Linked DNA regions of Bombyx mori. The protein of the gene in region 1 interacts with the protein of each later gene in a pairwise test. Links are inferred from orthologs where the notes say so. Each region holds a gene or a part of one and is shown in the gene's direction. Other genes may lie near its edges. The genes, in order: Go and rap1 GTPase-activating protein 1.

The links.
Region 2: the proteins of Go (region 1) and rap1 GTPase-activating protein 1 interact in a two-hybrid assay, tested with the Caenorhabditis elegans proteins (2 studies listed by BioGRID). The link is inferred for Bombyx mori from reciprocal best matches to the Caenorhabditis elegans genes goa-1 and F53A10.2.

The regions. Positions count from the first base shown.
Region 1 is NC_085125.1:9,487,363-9,496,249, reverse strand, and holds the end of Go (G protein alpha subunit Go), read left to right. Parts: intron 1-2,849; coding exon 2,850-2,978; intron 2,979-3,691; coding exon 3,692-3,821; intron 3,822-4,723; coding exon 4,724-4,877; intron 4,878-5,590; coding exon 5,591-5,778; 3' UTR 5,779-5,839; downstream 5,840-8,887. UniProt on the Caenorhabditis elegans protein: Guanine nucleotide-binding proteins (G proteins) are involved as modulators or transducers in various transmembrane signaling systems. In the 1-cell embryo, probably together with gpa-16, controls nuclear rotation and spindle elongation during mitosis.
Region 2 is NC_085109.1:6,780,601-6,788,791, forward strand, and holds the end of rap1 GTPase-activating protein 1, read left to right. Parts: intron 1-749; coding exon 750-927; intron 928-1,905; coding exon 1,906-1,938; intron 1,939-2,982; coding exon 2,983-3,173; intron 3,174-3,787; coding exon 3,788-3,943; 3' UTR 3,944-5,511; downstream 5,512-8,191.

The DNA.
Region 1 (8,887 bases):
CACCGTCGACTGCAACTAGTGGCAAACAGGATGCTAAACGTGCAGCTCGCCCTATACGATCATAGATTTCTAGGAGTGGGTAATATCGGTTTTGCCGCGTATCGAATCGTATCTATATATCGAGGATCAATATCGGATATTGAATCTATATATTTTCTGAATCTATATATTGATGGATGCTAGTAGTGATTCATGATATTTGAGATTTGAAACATTATTTTCAGTTTTTAGTATTTTGTGTCTTAATTTAAAATTACAAAATAAACCAAAAGAGACAGATACAAACACAAGAAATAAACTCAATTATTTGGATTCAACTAAAAATAGAAAAATGTGTACTTTAAAAATCAAACACAAAAAACTTTTAAGTATTTATAAACACTTGTCCAAAAATTCTAGTTCAAGGTCAAAGCGCGTGAAATTAAATTCAACGATGCAAATAGGCTATACTGCATTCAAGTTAGGGTCGAAAGTTGAAACTTCTTTCCTTAATTGTATCCTGCTGATACGCTAAGAATAATCTGCAGACATATGGACTTAAATATAAGGTTTACAATTGTATGGATAATGCCTGTTTCTGTTTCATTCATCACATGATATCCCTATCGTGCGCTCACTCACTCTGGCCGATTCGATACGAACCAAACGAATATTGCTGATATTAACGAATCGGTACGATATGCCGATGCGCATCACATCGAGCAATATCGTGTATCGGCTGATATCGAAATATAGATTTCGATTCACGAATCGGTCCGATATGGCGATGCGCATCACATCGAGCAATATCGTGTATCGGCTGATATCGATATATAGATTTCGTGCGGGGCGATATCGGATTCAACGATATTGCGGCGATATATAGATATTGAATCTATATACGATTTATATCACCCACTCCTATAGATTTCTATCTTTGATTTCTCGCTTGAGTGCGATTAGTCTTTAAATGTCTATAGGTTTAAATTAATTTGACGGTTTTACCGTCTCGGTGGTGCAGTAGTTAGTATCCCTGATTGCGGAGCCGAGGGTCGTGGGTTCGATTCCCACACCGGGCAAATGTTCGTGTAACGAATCGTTGGGTAATCATTTTCTATTTAAAATATGTATCTATTTAAACGTATGAATATAGTTTACACGAACTGTCACTTTAACCATTACATAATTGTGTTATTAGATGCTCACCCCAATTTCCAATAAAAAACCAATTTAAGTTTTCCATTGATTAATATAAGAAAAACGCTTTTATTCGTATCTTAGGTTACCCTATGCAATCGTTATCATTGATTTATATTCATTTACATACGTATAAAACCGTAGACATCATTTTAGGAACAATGTGTGTGGATGCCAAATATACTGCCATTGTTAAGGCACAAAAACAAATGAATGTGACCCAATACTATTTGAATGCGTGACTTAAACCACGTACACGTTGATACGCCTGACTGTGTATCCTAACAATATACCTTCTTTAAAATTTGACCTAGAATGTCAAATATCTTCTTCAAAAAACTAAACATCAAATGAGTCGTCTATTATCAAAGGTGGCAGGCAATCTGTGCATTTGGAAAAAAAAATGTTATTGATATGTCAATACAGATTGATTTGAATATAATCGTCTCCTTCAAAGAATACGGTTCAAAACCTGTATTAAATAAAGGTTAATGCTTAACCTGTTATTTATCTTAGAGGTGATTCAGAAGAGTTTTGTGACTGCCAATGGAATACAACGTCAATAATTCGTTTTTCTGATTTACCTATAATTGTCCAAAAGTCACATTGCCGGCTTTGATAATAGTCGACTCAATACAAACAAACAAACAATTTGTTTTAAAATAGAATGGTATGTGAACATTTTCATACAAGCGCCCATACACAAAGAAATTAATAAAATTAATAATTAAAATTAAAGTATAATTAAATTAAAAAAAAAGAACTAGTTTTCCAAACCAATAAAAACATATTCGTATTCGTTCCTTATCAATTCTGAATAATGAATACATTAACGGCAAATCGAACTGTAATTGCACACGTATTAAGCATTCTAAATTCACAGTGAAATCTATTAAGGAAACACAAACAGAATATTTTTATATAATTTTAATGCCCACTATCGCGCCCTACCTCCTTATGGTTTCTATTGTAAAAGAAAAGGTAAATTGATTAAATTTAAAAGTGATTAAAAATTCGAAATTATTCAAATCATGTTGAATGTTTAACTCTCTATTGTGGTATACACTAGTTTAAGTTCATAGAGTGTTTAAAAGAATAAAATTTGATTTTTTAAACCCTCGCACACTGGCAACGTTTTTTTTGGTTGTTATGTAATTACTAAAATGTAACTTACACATGATAATATCAATGTCATCTATATATTAATACGTGAAGCAAAAACTTTGTATCCCTTTTTACGAAAATTGCACGGACGGAGGAGTATGAAGTTTTCCACACTTATAGAGAATACAGAGAAGAAGTGCACAGTGCTAATATTTTTTGTAAATTATGCATAAAAGATACATTAAATCAATAAAGAAAACATTACACACACACTACATACCATGTATTTGACGCACACACGCATGCATACTATTTATTGTCGAACTTTTGTTCTTGACGTCTGTGGTCAAATTGAGAATAGATTAAATATTGTTTGTCTTTATGAATATTTTTCTATAGTGTAGTCTTGGCGAAATTTGTGATTATAGAAGTATAAAATATAATCATAATAGTGTACAAACTTATAATTTCAATTAATTATAGTAGAATTTCGACTACCGGTCGACCACTAGTTAGTGAAATTCAACAATTGTATTTTCGGTAATGCTCACGGTCTCCTTTGATTCTAGTTTCCTGGACGACCTCGACCGGTTAGGAGCAAAGGATTACCAGCCCACCGAACAAGATATCCTAAGGACTAGAGTCAAAACGACTGGAATCGTCGAAGTACATTTCTCCTTCAAAAACCTCAATTTCAAGTAAGTTGATCTTTTCAGGCAACGGCTTTAAATAGTAACTGATTATAGGCGATTACGGAATTTGCCAAACGAAGAGACATCAATTTATAAGGGGCAATAAGTATTTCAATAAAATTGTAAGTTGTATTTATAATTTGAAAGATGATTATAAGGCGACCATGAGTGATTGGTTTTTATTAGTTTAATGTACAAAATGTAGCCCTAAAACAAATGTTAACAATTGTCTGTTTGTTCCCCTGTGTTCAGGATTAAAGTGAACAAACAGGCTTATTGAAATTGTTGATTGTTGTTTTTCTCTTCAACGACGAGAAACGTGGCCCATGAAAATATGTCACGTGTTTCAGTAATACATATTTAGTATATTTGATAATGATTTCATAATCTATTAACTTATGAGATTCATAGTCTATCATGACGACACTAATACGAAATGAATATGTAGTTTGTCTAGAATTGTTAATCAATGTAATTACGCCTAAGTCAATCAGGGATTACAAATAAAGTTTGCACGCGCAAGGACTTTTATGTCGTCATTAGTAATGTTTCATTGTTGAATAATTGCAGTAAGTTTATAATTGTTTCTATTACATTCGTATGTACATAAATATTTCGAGCGCTTCGAACATTATCAGTATACATGGTTGAACTAGAGTGATATAGTGACGACATAAATAGTAGTATGATTCAATCAGTAACGCAAATTATGTTTCCAGATTGTTCGACGTGGGCGGGCAGCGATCGGAGAGGAAGAAATGGATTCATTGCTTCGAGGACGTGACCGCGATCATATTCTGTGTTGCCATGTCTGAATATGATCAGGTGTTGCACGAGGATGAAACAACGGTCAGTATATACAGTAATGAATGAGCCGATGATTCAGTTTTATTTATTTATTAAGAGTAAGATTATTATTTTTCTCCACCTTATCGGTAAGCAGCGGCTTAGCTCTGCCCCTGCCATTGCTGAAGTCCATAGGCGACGGTAACCACTCATCATCAGGTGGGACGTGAGCTCGTCTGCCTACAAGGGCAATAAAAAAAACCCACTATGTGGGGTCGGCACAGCTAATTTTTCTCTTCCATTCTCTTCTATCAGCTGTCATTTCAACACTCACTCCTCTCTTTCTCATATCGTCATTCACACACTCCATCCATGTCTTCTCGGTCGACCAGTTCCCTTTCTACCTTGCACTACCATTTCCATACATCTCCCTAGTCACATGCATCTTCTCTCTACGCACCACATGTCCATACCACGCTAACCGTCCGCTCTTTAATTTTTTTATTACGGGGGCTACTTTCACACTTCCTCTGATATACTCATTCCTTATCTTGTCCGTTCTTGTCACTCCACACATCAATCTCAACATTTGTATCTCTGCCGCATGCACTCCTCTTTCATGTTTCACTTTCGTCGCCCAACATTCAGATCCATCCATAAGATTAGTTAATAAAAAAAAGGTTTTAACATTATTGTAACCAATGTCGATGAAACGATAGGGTGTTGTGTGGAGGCTCCTGGTGATATCTCACAGGTCACTAATTTATTGGAAACTATTACAGACAGAAAAGCTGTTGTTTCTTATCATTAAGAATAATTAATTGATCTCAGATCTTATTTGGAATTTTTTACACATAAATATTTTACTAGAATTTTCGTCAATACATTTTTGTTGTTATATTATTCGAATTGCAAATATATAACTGTTATGTACCAAATTAATCACATTGCATTTAAATTTACAGAACCGTATGCAGGAGAGTCTAAAGTTGTTCGATTCTATCTGCAACAACAAATGGTTCACCGACACCAGCATCATCTTGTTCCTGAACAAGAAGGATCTCTTCGAGGAAAAAATTCGCAGATCGCCGCTCACCATATGCTTTCCAGAATATACAGGTATTTTATCGTTTTACTAATCACAATTTAGTCTGAGGATCTTGCATGAAAATATGTCTGACCGGTATTATTAATACCTAGTTCTTCATGACCGTAAAAATGGTAATTTCACAGCTTATGCATTGCCATTTGGATATGCCAATCCAAGGTCTGTATTCCCTAAGACTTTAAGCTAAGCCAGTTCGAAACTAAGTATTCTTGACCAATCCAGTGGCGTTAGGGCAGGAAGAAAAATAAATGAACAACTTTAATATTTATGCATAGTTTTACAAGATGTCAGTATTACTATTGTTTTTATTATTTTCATAGGAAGATGGTTATCGACCGTAAGCTCTTGGCATAATCATACACCGGGCTTATTGGCTTATTACTTATTAAGCCACGGACGGTTCAACAGCAATTACTAACAATTTTCAAACCTTATTTGAATATTTGGCATGCTGAGTAATCACCGTGGAGGAAAGTTTTCGGACCTTATATATTATATATGGTATTTCTATAGATCTTTCTTATTAAGTTCCCACACACTATCAGAAAAAGTATATACCATACGTCTGATACCAGACTCATCACAAACCGCTCGTGAGGCGCATAACATCTGCCCACAGCAATGATACTGAATGACGATCACGACCGCCCCGACAAGAGTGATACGACAAAGGAAAAAAAGCAATAGAAAATACATAATGATGATTATAATGCGTTATTTGCAGGCGCGCAAGAGTACGGCGAGGCGGCCGCGTACATCCAGGCGCAGTTCGAAGCGAAGAACAAGTCCACCACGAAGGAGATCTACTGCCACATGACGTGCGCCACCGACACGAACAACATCCAGTTTGTGTTCGACGCGGTGACCGACGTGATCATCGCCAACAACCTGCGCGGCTGCGGCCTGTACTAGCCGCCTCGCACCCGCCGCCACTATTACATATATTTATACACCGCTATTTTTATATCAAAAATAAAAAAAAAAACAGCGCTATCTAACCTAACCGATACACACGCTGCTAACGATAAAGATAATTCGAAAAACGAATATCGAAAAATCTAATCCCAGACCAGAGACAATCGTGTCTAATTTGTTGCAGGATTCTAGTAAACTACAACTTGTCATCTCGAATTAAATTCTGAATACTCGAATTACGATAATTCGAAAAACGAATATCGTAAAATCTAATCCCAGACCAGAGACAAGCGTGTCTATGAATTTGTTGCATGATTCTTGTAAACCACAACTTGTCATCTCGAATTAAATTCTGAATACTCGAATTACGTTCGAACGCGTGTATCCCGTAAAGCCTGTTCAAATTTATTTCTGGTAATTAAATCTAGTGGTGTATATATTTTTATGAGAAGTAAGCTTACTCGATATGTACCGCCGACGTGCAGTTATCACGAGTCACGCGGCTCCGACGTGCGGTGCGCGACTAGATGCGAGACGTGCGGGTAGCGTTTCATTTCCCTTGTAATATATAAACCGTCGTTCTGTTCTTCGTTCCGGACGAGCCTTCCCCGCTGGAACGTTCTCGTTAATACCGGGTCCGAGCGAGTCGATTATATCGATTATTCGCGAATCGAAACATAAATCGATTCAAAAGTTTGACATCTTTCGGTTGTTCGAAGTGTTGCGTTGAGAACTATTCGACCCGTCTGGACCTGCCGTTAGACATGTTTTTCAGTGGAATTAGCGATCTAGTGTTCGATTCTAAATTTTGGTGCTAGGCGTTCGTTCAGCGTTTGGTTCGTTCAGAAGTTCGTTCGTTTACGATCTAGTTGTGTCACCGTCGGCCTCGCTCCGGCCCCCCCGGAGCACCGGTCACTAACTCTGCTTATATACTCACTCTCTTACGGACCGAGGGGCAACAACCAATATTAGACATCACAGACAAAAAGTCGGATATCCGCCTTTTTGCAAAAATCTACTGGTTCGTGATTATTAATCTGTTCTTTGGTTGCTCCCTGATCATTAATTTTTTGTCACAATAATTTTTAAATATATTCTACCTAAAATAATCGCATATTCTTCACACATAAGAATCGAATCAATAGGTTTGAGTTCAATGGTTGGTTTTAAGTTACATAATAGAATGGATGTCCAACATTTTGACTCTTGATGTCAATTTTAAATTATTTGATGTTTCACACCGAACTGTAGTGAATTACGTGGAAATGTTCACAGGCCTATTATAACTGATTACAATGCATCATTCCACTATTAAGTATTAGCACGATGGAAATATATTTTTATACAATTTTGAAAACACGAACAGTAACTCTACGGGATTTAGAACCTTTGTTTATGTTCCGATATATCTTAGCTAATATTGTATTGTGAGCTGAACTCTTTCCTAACTTACTTGAGGTTTAGTACCTATTTTAATTTAAGTGATGTAAGCACAAACTATTTATTCCAGTTTAATCATTTTATAATGCCATATTTATATTCATTATTAATTTTTTGTCATGTCGTTTGGACATTTTGTACTTTTTAAGTTATAGCGTCATATCTAATCATCTATTAAAAAAATCATGTAACTATTTAATTTATAAAGGGCCTTGTTTAGTCTGCACTCTAAATGTATTCTGTATAATAAATTAAAAAAAAAGAAAATAAACGCACATGAAGTTGTTTCGTTTTCCTCTCGGCTAATGGTGGCTCTCGCTCTTACTTCATCACCATTATCATTTCATCACCATTCAATATCATTTGACAAATTTTTAAGGAAATATACAACATTGCATATAAAACTTTGCAGCCGATATTAATATAACATTGATTGTCTAGAAGTAACTCCTTTCAGTTACCGTTCACACTAAATGAGGCCCTGTATATTTAGCGTTTAAACAGTTAATATTGAATAAATTAAAATAGCATTATAATCGTCGTACCTATAATGTTAACATTATTGTAATTGTTCGTTGATGGAGTCTGTGACGTAGGACGTGCATTGTTTATCTTAATGCGTCAGAGCGGATGTTGCTTTTTTTTTTTTAAATTTGTCGTCGCAGATTCAGGTTGGAGTGATTATGTCGGGATCAAGCCAAGAACAGGAGTGTCAATGACCTTTTATACGTCAAATGTAAGTATGATTTGCGAAGCAGCTGATCCGTTGAAATGGCTTAAAAGTATGTTGTGATTTACATTATTTCATTAGTTTTTTTTTTTTTTAATTACGTTCTCGGGGAAACAGAATTGCGCGTCAGACCCGTTCCTGTTGTTGGTTTGATTTTAATATAGTTTAGTTTTTGAAGGCTTTGTAATATTTGTAAGCTACATACGTATTTTCGTGCAGCCGATATCTGGTCGTGGTGTCGTGTCTTCGCCGGCTCTCTGGTGTCGGTGCTGCAGTAACGTATCGCACAAGCTGCACAAAACTCCTTAGCGTATAGTTATCCACTTATGGCTACTATTCGTATCGAATGTAAGATTTGTGAGTATATAAACTATGTATGTATACATTCGCGAATTAGCGTAACCGATTCACCCAATACATATTATATACTATATAACATAATTTATTATTAATAATAAATAAATAAATAAAAACTCCTAATTTAAGCATTAGTACCATAATTGTATCAATAAACATAATTATTAATGCAATTAGACAGTAACCTTTACTATCGATTGTCATAGTTAGGTGATTTATTTTCATTTTACGTTTATGAATATGTAAAAATTGATTTAAAAAAAATGGAAAACGTAACGCCTACACCGTGACCGCGCGGGCCACACGCCGATCTAAAACGAAGCGCTCAATGTAATGCATCGTGAGGTTGCTTAAAACCAAAGATTTTGTAAAATGAGTCCTATTTAGGAGATTAAAATGAAAAGAAACATGTAGACAACCGAGTCGCGAGACATTCGTTAGATCGGGGGCCGCGGTCGAGTCGGCGGCATGCGGCGCGGGCCCACGCTCGCTTGTTGCTAGGTAGGTTTTTTACTGTTATGTAAACAATATGTGTACGTAAATTAATGAAAAAAAATAATAATATTAGAGCAATTCTAC
Region 2 (8,191 bases), on another chromosome or scaffold:
CCCCCTGGTGTTAATTGTTTATCAGAGCCCAGAGACATCAACAAATTTTTCCGCGAAGTCGTAGTCGCCTAAAGGATAAGACGGCCCGGTGCATTCGTATCTAGCGATGTACCGGTGTTCGAATCCCGCAGGCGGGTACCAATTTTTCTGATGAAATACGTACTTAACAAATGTTCGCGATTGACTTCCACGGTGAAGGAATAACATCGTTTATTAAAAATCAAACTCGCAAAATTATAATTTGCGTAATTACTGGTGATAGGACCTCTTGTGAGTCCGCACATCCTCATCATCATCAGCCTATAGTAGTCCACTGCTGGACATAGGCCTCTTCAATTGTTCGCCACTGAGCACGATCTTCGGCTTCTCTCATCCAGTTCCTGCCAGCCACCCCGCACAGATCATCACTCCACGGAGTCTGAGGGTTTCCTGCACTGCGTTTTCCAGTTCGCGGTCTCTACTCAAGAACGCGTTTACCTCAACGATTATCGGTTGTCCGGCTAATATGGCCAGCCCATTGCCACTTCAGCTTACTAATTCGCTGTGCTATGTCTATAACTTGGAGTCCGCACGGGTAGGTTTTATCAATACAACAGCTAACCCACCCTTCAAACCGCATTACTGCTACGCGGCTGAAATTGGCAGATTGAGATCTACCAGTGTGAGCTCACAAGAGGCCCTACCACCAGTAAAAAATATCAAATCCTGAGCGCAAATTTTACTAATCATATCTTTTGTTTTATGAACAGAGCGGTCGTTCGAAGTCATCTATAGCGTCGTCGTCGGCGAGCGCAGTGTCGGTTCGTTCAGCCGGTGGGTCCGGGGAGTCCAGTCCGGATGTGACGTCACGAGCCGCCCCTCCGAGACCGCCGCTGAACGACCACAGCGACGACTCCAGCCTCAACTCAGTCGACTTGGATCCGCTTGGTCAGTATCATAGATACACTTAATGTCAGTAAGCAAATAAGTAACGGTAAAAAAAACGTAGTTCGAAATATGAATTTTAATAAAAATTCGATTTCTTTTGAACATCTATAAATCTAATATATAATATATAGATGTAATGTATAAATCTACAGTGATTTTTACGGATGATCCGTTATAACTACTGAACCATGCATCCGATTGACTTGAAACTTGGTATCCATGTAAAAAATACATATACTTAATGGATAGACTAATATTTATATGAGTGTTGGACTCCCTAATAATAATGACAATAAATAATAATGTTAATTTTAAATGCCGGGCGAGTGCGGCTAGTTGTTTTTTTTTTTTGAATTAGAATTTCAAATTTCGCAATCGTGAAGTGACTAATGTTGCGGCTATATTATTATCAGGTTTTGTCGAATGTTCGAATTGTCTACAAGTAGAAAACGATATTATTATGTTTTGCGAAACCGACTGTCGTCTATTGCATGACAGAGAGTGGAGACTTCCCGAGCTAAATGGAACAGTATTTGATCACGACGAACCTCGTTCATCCAACCTCATTTCGCAACCCAAACCTTGAGTATAATCTGTGAACACGGATTTGAGACTAGTGTAGTGTTCGTAATTCGAATTATAAAGTCAGTTCGATTGATTTGGAACTTAGTAGGTACATACGGTTTTTTTTGTTGTAAAAGTGGTTTTTGGCAAATGATACTGTCATAAACAATTACAACAATAACCGGGTGAAAAACAGTGGCATCGCCCATGCGAATTGTAACGTCCAAATGAATGAACTTGTAATTTTATTAACGTTCACGTGCAGAAATTGCGCATCATTACAACTATCATCCACAATAGCCCTGTCTCTTTCTCTCTCTTTCCTGTCATGTTTCAAATTAACGTTTAATTTAAGAATATATTTAAATAAATGTGTACACATATGTATATTGAATAAAATTATTTTCCAATTAGACGACAAAGACTGGCTGACTTGTGGTAAAACAGGTTAGTCTCCATAACAAGTATAAATTATTAAAAAAAATACTTTTTTTTGTAGATCATTTTGAGCACGTAATCGTAAATTAGAAAATCTTTTAAATATTTATTATTCGCATACATTTATTTCGATTCACGTCTTATAGTGAGTAGGAAATATATTTTTGTCTATCTCTTGCACATTAATGTCACATTATTTAATTAACATAATCTTAGTCCATTTCCATTTAGTCATAATCTTAAATTGTATTTTAATAGTTAAATACTGTTTTTAGCGTATTCAGCACGGATGTAAAACGTTTTGTATATTTTTATCTATTAATAGTTGTAGAGTTTTTTTTTTAATAATAAGCTAGACTGGTGATGGTACGACCCACTTGATGGTGAATGATCGCCATCGCTCATGGAGTTTAGCAATGACCAAAATTTTATATTATAAGTACATTTTTTATATATTTTTACAATTAAAATCTAAAAAAAATACTTTCGGGAGCGGAATGAACATCATGTGGCTACCTGATATTATTTATTTATTCACCTAAAAATCTACGTTTTGATTTAACTGGAACGAATTTCCGAATCTTGTATTTTTACTGGTGGTAGGACCACTTGTGAGTCCGCACGGGTAGGTAACACCACCCTGCCTATTTCTGCCGTGAAGCAGTAATGCGTTTCGATTTGAAGGGTGGGGCAGCCGTTGTAAGTATACTGAGACCTTACAACTCATATCTCAAGGTGGATGGTGGCATTTACTTTGTATATGTCTATGGCCTCCAGTAATTACTCAACACTAGGTGGGCTGTGAGTTCGTCCACCCATCTAAGCAATAAAAAAAAAATAGGAACTAGAAATTATTTTGATACTTTACATTATCAATATTGCTTTTTTGCACACTTTTCTATCTTCTTTAGCTTACTCTTACCTACTTAATACACGTTACTTTCGTCTGCTGCAAGGAAACATGTTAATATTTTTGTTTACAATTAAAAAAACATGTATACATAATTGAGCCATGGACGTAATATGCCTGAACGAATTCCGTGTTCCGTCCAGCAGGCGGCGTATACGTAGACAGCGACACCGGTCTGGAGTCGATGTCGTCTGCGGAGGCGGGTGCGGGGTGCGGGGCGGGCGCTGCGGGGGGACGCGCCGACGGAGCCGCACCGCCGCGGGGGGACGCCGACCTACGACAAGAGGTCTGCAGGCTCAAGAATGACAAACTGGATCTACTCAAGCAGAACATTGTGAGTATAATTCTGCTGCTCTTCTGCGTCTTAACGCGTTAATTAGCGCCGTATTGGGTGGGTCGTATGCTCGTCTGCCTTCAAGGCCACTTCGACAAAGCGACACGACATGGGAACCCTCTCATCGTGGAATGCCGGTAACCACAATCCCGACCCGACATATCAAACCCGCAAAAATTATAATTTGCGTAATTACTGGTGGTGGGACCTCTTGTGAGTCCACGCGGGTAGGTACCACCACCCTGCCTATTTCTGCCGTGAAGCAGTAATGCGTTTCGTTTGAACGGTGGGTCAGCCGTTGTAACAATACTGAGACTTTAGAACTTATATCTCAAGGTGGATGGCGCATTTACGTTGTAGATGTCTATGGGCTCCAGTAACCACTTAACATCAGGTGGGCTGTGAGCTCGTCCACCCCTCCATCTAAGCAATAAAAAAGCAAAAAAAGTATAATTAAAATAGATAATATAATCACTAATCGTACATCAAAATCTCTAGTATCATTTATATAAAAAAAAAAGTAGCAACTTGTACACTTATATCGTAGGAGCCATATTATTGTGCAAGGTAGTGCGATTCTTAACGGTTCTTCAAACATATTATTTTTTTAACAGACCTGGCAGAATGAAATCAAGAACTTACGCGAAAGAGAAATATCTCTGCAAGCCGAGTTGGCCGCCGCGGCGAGGGAAGTCCGAAGGCTCAGAGAGCAACAACAGTCACTAAGCACAACCATCCCGAACCCTTCGCCACACGATTCCACGGCCTAATACGAACTTTGAGCCGAAGCCGCAAGGCTCAAATTAACAAAATCAACCCAACTCAAAAGGTGACGTGATTATTTATTAGATCTGATTGTGAGAAATGATTAGTTTAAACTGATACCTATATTATTATTGTCGTAGAATTTTTTGAAAGTCGATCATCGTAATAGATAAATATATCGGTGTCAAAACTTAATAATATTTATAGATACATGTTGTTCTCTCTTCTGTGTTGTGTGATTCATGTTATAGAAAAATATATCGACTTGATTTCTGGCAATCTTTATATACTTAGTTCAATGTTTCATCAATAGATGTCGTAATATTTCCGAATTTTAAAATTGTATTCTATGATTGTCTTTGCGTAAAACTATGCTTCGAATACAATTATATTATATTGTAGCTCGTTTCCGAGTACAAGAAAAGTATATTATAAAAATAATCTGTAGCATATGTAGAGAGAATGTGATTCGAATCTTTTATATGTTGTTATACGAAACAAGATTGTTACTATGTCTATAATCTAAGACAAATGCTTTTTGTAAACGTTGTGATAATTAAGCTTACTTCAAATTCATGCCGTTTAAAATTAAAAACCCAACAACTTATACAAATATTATATTTTGCACTCACACTATTATCAAATACGTTTTTATTCACTGTAATATTTTATGTATTTTGAAAAGACCGCTTGTGTTCTTCAACTTTTATTCTCGACTGCGGGAATGAAGACAGGTTATATTTATTAGTTAAGATCCATATAGAATCTTGATTTTTACCAATATTTCAAACGCTATTACTGTTCCACTACACACTTCAGTTTTCCTAAAATGTATATCACGCTCATATCTACAAATACTAATTTAGAAGAAGCGTAGTTCGTTCATTCATAGTTCATTATTATAAATTGCGAGCGTTAGATGTTAGAAGAAATTTATTAGTACTGAATTATTAAGTGAAAACTTTATGACGTCATATGTGGTGTTTTAGAAATTTCAATGACTCTTAGTTTTGACATAGTTTGACTTATTTACATGATTTCCCAGTACATATTTGTACGTAGAAGTACGCATTTGCAATTATTCTTTTGGTATTGTGCAATCTTCTGTTCTTTGGGTAATTTAGCATAATTTAAGTATACCGGTTAATGTACATATATGGCGACTGGACTATTGATTTCAATAAGAAAAGCAGTATTTTTTTTTTTCATAATTTATGCTTCGATTTAAGTTCGTTTTGAGTGTTCGTTTGATTACGTTTTGTTGTTTATAATTAATATTTTATACCAAAGCTAACATTCCCCACTAAAATAGTGTAGGTTTTTTTTTTCTAGAACCAGTATTCAAGGTTTGATTGATGGACGTATGCTAACACAATTTCTAAGTTTACATTTAGCCTCGTAAATAAATGTATTCTTTTAGATATTTTGTTCGAATGTTGATTTAATAGTTGATTGTAACTAACTGTTGATTCGTCTTCATTTAGACCTAAACCAAATATTGAGCGCGGAGCGTTAGAAAAGTAGTTTTTAAGAGATACTATTGAAATATATGAATAGTTACATCCTAAATAAATGTTGTTTTATTTAACGTCCAGTGCCTTTAACAAGTGCCTTTCGTCTGTATATTGCTAGATGGTGCTACTGTGCTGTTTAGTAGTGTTGATATGTGCCAAGAGATGGCTCTCTCTACAGCTTAGTGTAATTATTTTATAATAATAATTAGAAATAATTCTTTTTTTATTTATTTTATTTTTATAAATAATTTTTTTTACTAACAATCATGCCACGTTAACTGGTCCTGTGATAAGTTCTTGTAGAACTTGTGTTACAGGTACCAGATAACGGATATAAATGTAAGATTTTTATTATACACATACATATATTTAATATACATCCATAACCCTGGAAAAGACATTTATATTAAATTTATCATACAAATATCTTCCCTTGGCGGGATTCGAAGCCGCGACCCCCTTGTGTAGTGACCATGTCACTTACCACTACACCAGACGGCCGTTAAATGGTTAATGGAAGTGACTGTGACTGTGAAAGGTTTCTTTTAGTAGTAGCGCGTAAGCGCGTAAGTGCAATTTCCTCTTTCGAGATAATGGTTAGAAACTGAATCTTTGATCACGTCGTGATAAAAATGCATCATGATTGTTGTATTTAGAGATACCAATCTAGACTAAAAAATGTCCATTGTGATTCGGAGGATTAGTATTTGAGGATTAGTATCATTCGCGACTCCGCTATAGAGCCCTAATATTGTAATGAACAAAACATTTCATAATACGTTAACATGAAATTTTGAGAAATAGCTCCATCTGTGCAGCTCAGTATTAACTGGGTAAATTTCTAGGACAAACCCTAATAGTTATTTTAATTTTTTATAGGTGTCGCTTTTCACAATTACAATTCCCAGTTGAAAAACAAAAATAAGAAAACCCGAAGATGCTATAACAGAAAATGGGAAATACAATGGCGTTACAGAATACATCCTAATTTTAAATATAAAACAATGTCGAAAACTTTGTTTTGTAAGATTGAAAAAAATAACATTGCTTCGAAAAGCACAAAATATTCAGTTTATAAAGGATTCAAAAATTAATATAAAAGCGACGTGGCAAATCATCTAAGCAATAAAAAAAAGCATAAAAAAATCCGTTAACAATAGAAACACGCACTCTTTCCATGGGAACATTTTTCACTGTCAATCGTACGGATTATTTTAGGGACTCCAAATTATCATGGCGTTTAGAGCAAGCCGTACTCTCTAAAACTAACCATAAATCATAATCCAGCGGATTAAGATCGGGACAAGACGACGACCAGTCTTCAGGTCTGAAGTCCGAAACGTTCGTTTCCAACCAAGACTACGTAGACCGAGCTTTATGACCTGGCGCCGAGTCTTGCTGGAAGGACCATTCTTGATTATTGAACATGGTGTTGTTAAGGGGCTTCACTACCTTCTCAATAATGGTATCTTGATACACTTGTGCCGATGTTTTGATACCTTTTTCACAAAAGTTTGGCTCAGTCACTCCTTCATAGCTAATACCCCACCAAACTATCACTGAAGTCGGATAGTGCCCACGTTGCGTACCGCTTCAGTAGTTGTTTCGATTTTACCACCCTATTCTCTTTTAAATTATCAGTTAAGAAATGACCAGTACGTCTCTTATAGGGTGCAAGTCCTAAGTCATCTTTTAAAATACGCGACATGGTTCTAGGTGCTATCTTCATCTCCCGAGATAAAATCTTTTACTTTCAGACAGGATTTCTTCGAATTCTTTCCCTTACTGCTTTGACCACCTTTTTCGTACGAACACTACGTGGACGGCCAAATCTTTTTCTGTCACAAACAGAAGAGGTCTCATTGCACCTATTAATAGCCCGGTACACAAACATTTTACTAATACCAAGCGTATGGAGAGTTTTAAAAATTGCATTTGGCTCCATACCTACTTTGTGTAATGCAATCACAGCGATTGGGTTCTCTTTATCACCCCACTCCATTTTAATATCGCAAAATATTGTACAATGAATGTATTGGCGCCAAAATGAGAAAACTCAATGAGCAATCATGTAAAAATGACAGATTCCAAATTCAAATGTAATATTTTGTTTATTTTTAATTGTAACAGCATTTATGGCCAGACTAAATATATACGGTACATACACCAATATAACATTTTTTAAATTTTTTATCTGTCTGTCTGTTTGTTCCGGCTAATCTCTGGAACGATTGGACCGATTTTGAGTAACTTAGGCTATTTTTTTAGACTAGCTTCGTCCCGCGGCTTCAACCGCGGTACGACAATAGCCGCGGGTAATATCGCGGGACTCAGCTATCAATAATAAAATTTAATGTTTCCGAAGCGTAGCGAGGGCGGGTCGTTATAACACTATCTACGTCTCGCGAAAACCGAAGAAAATACTATAACAAATCTTTATATTGAAGGGAATGCTTCCTGGTAATCTTAAAATATCTATTGTTAAACTTCTGTGCAAAAAGGTACCGAACAAACAATAACTTTTTAATGTTCATGTCAAACTCTATAAAATATGCACTTTTATACTAACTGTCCATAGGGTTAGTATCGTAAAGTTTTCCTCCAGCAGCAATGAGACAGCTCATAATTCTTGATAGTAAAACCTTACAAAGATACGAGATATCGCTGACTATAAATCTAAACTTTACGCTACTTTGTTCGAATCTATATTCTCATAGGCTATTTGATACATATACATAT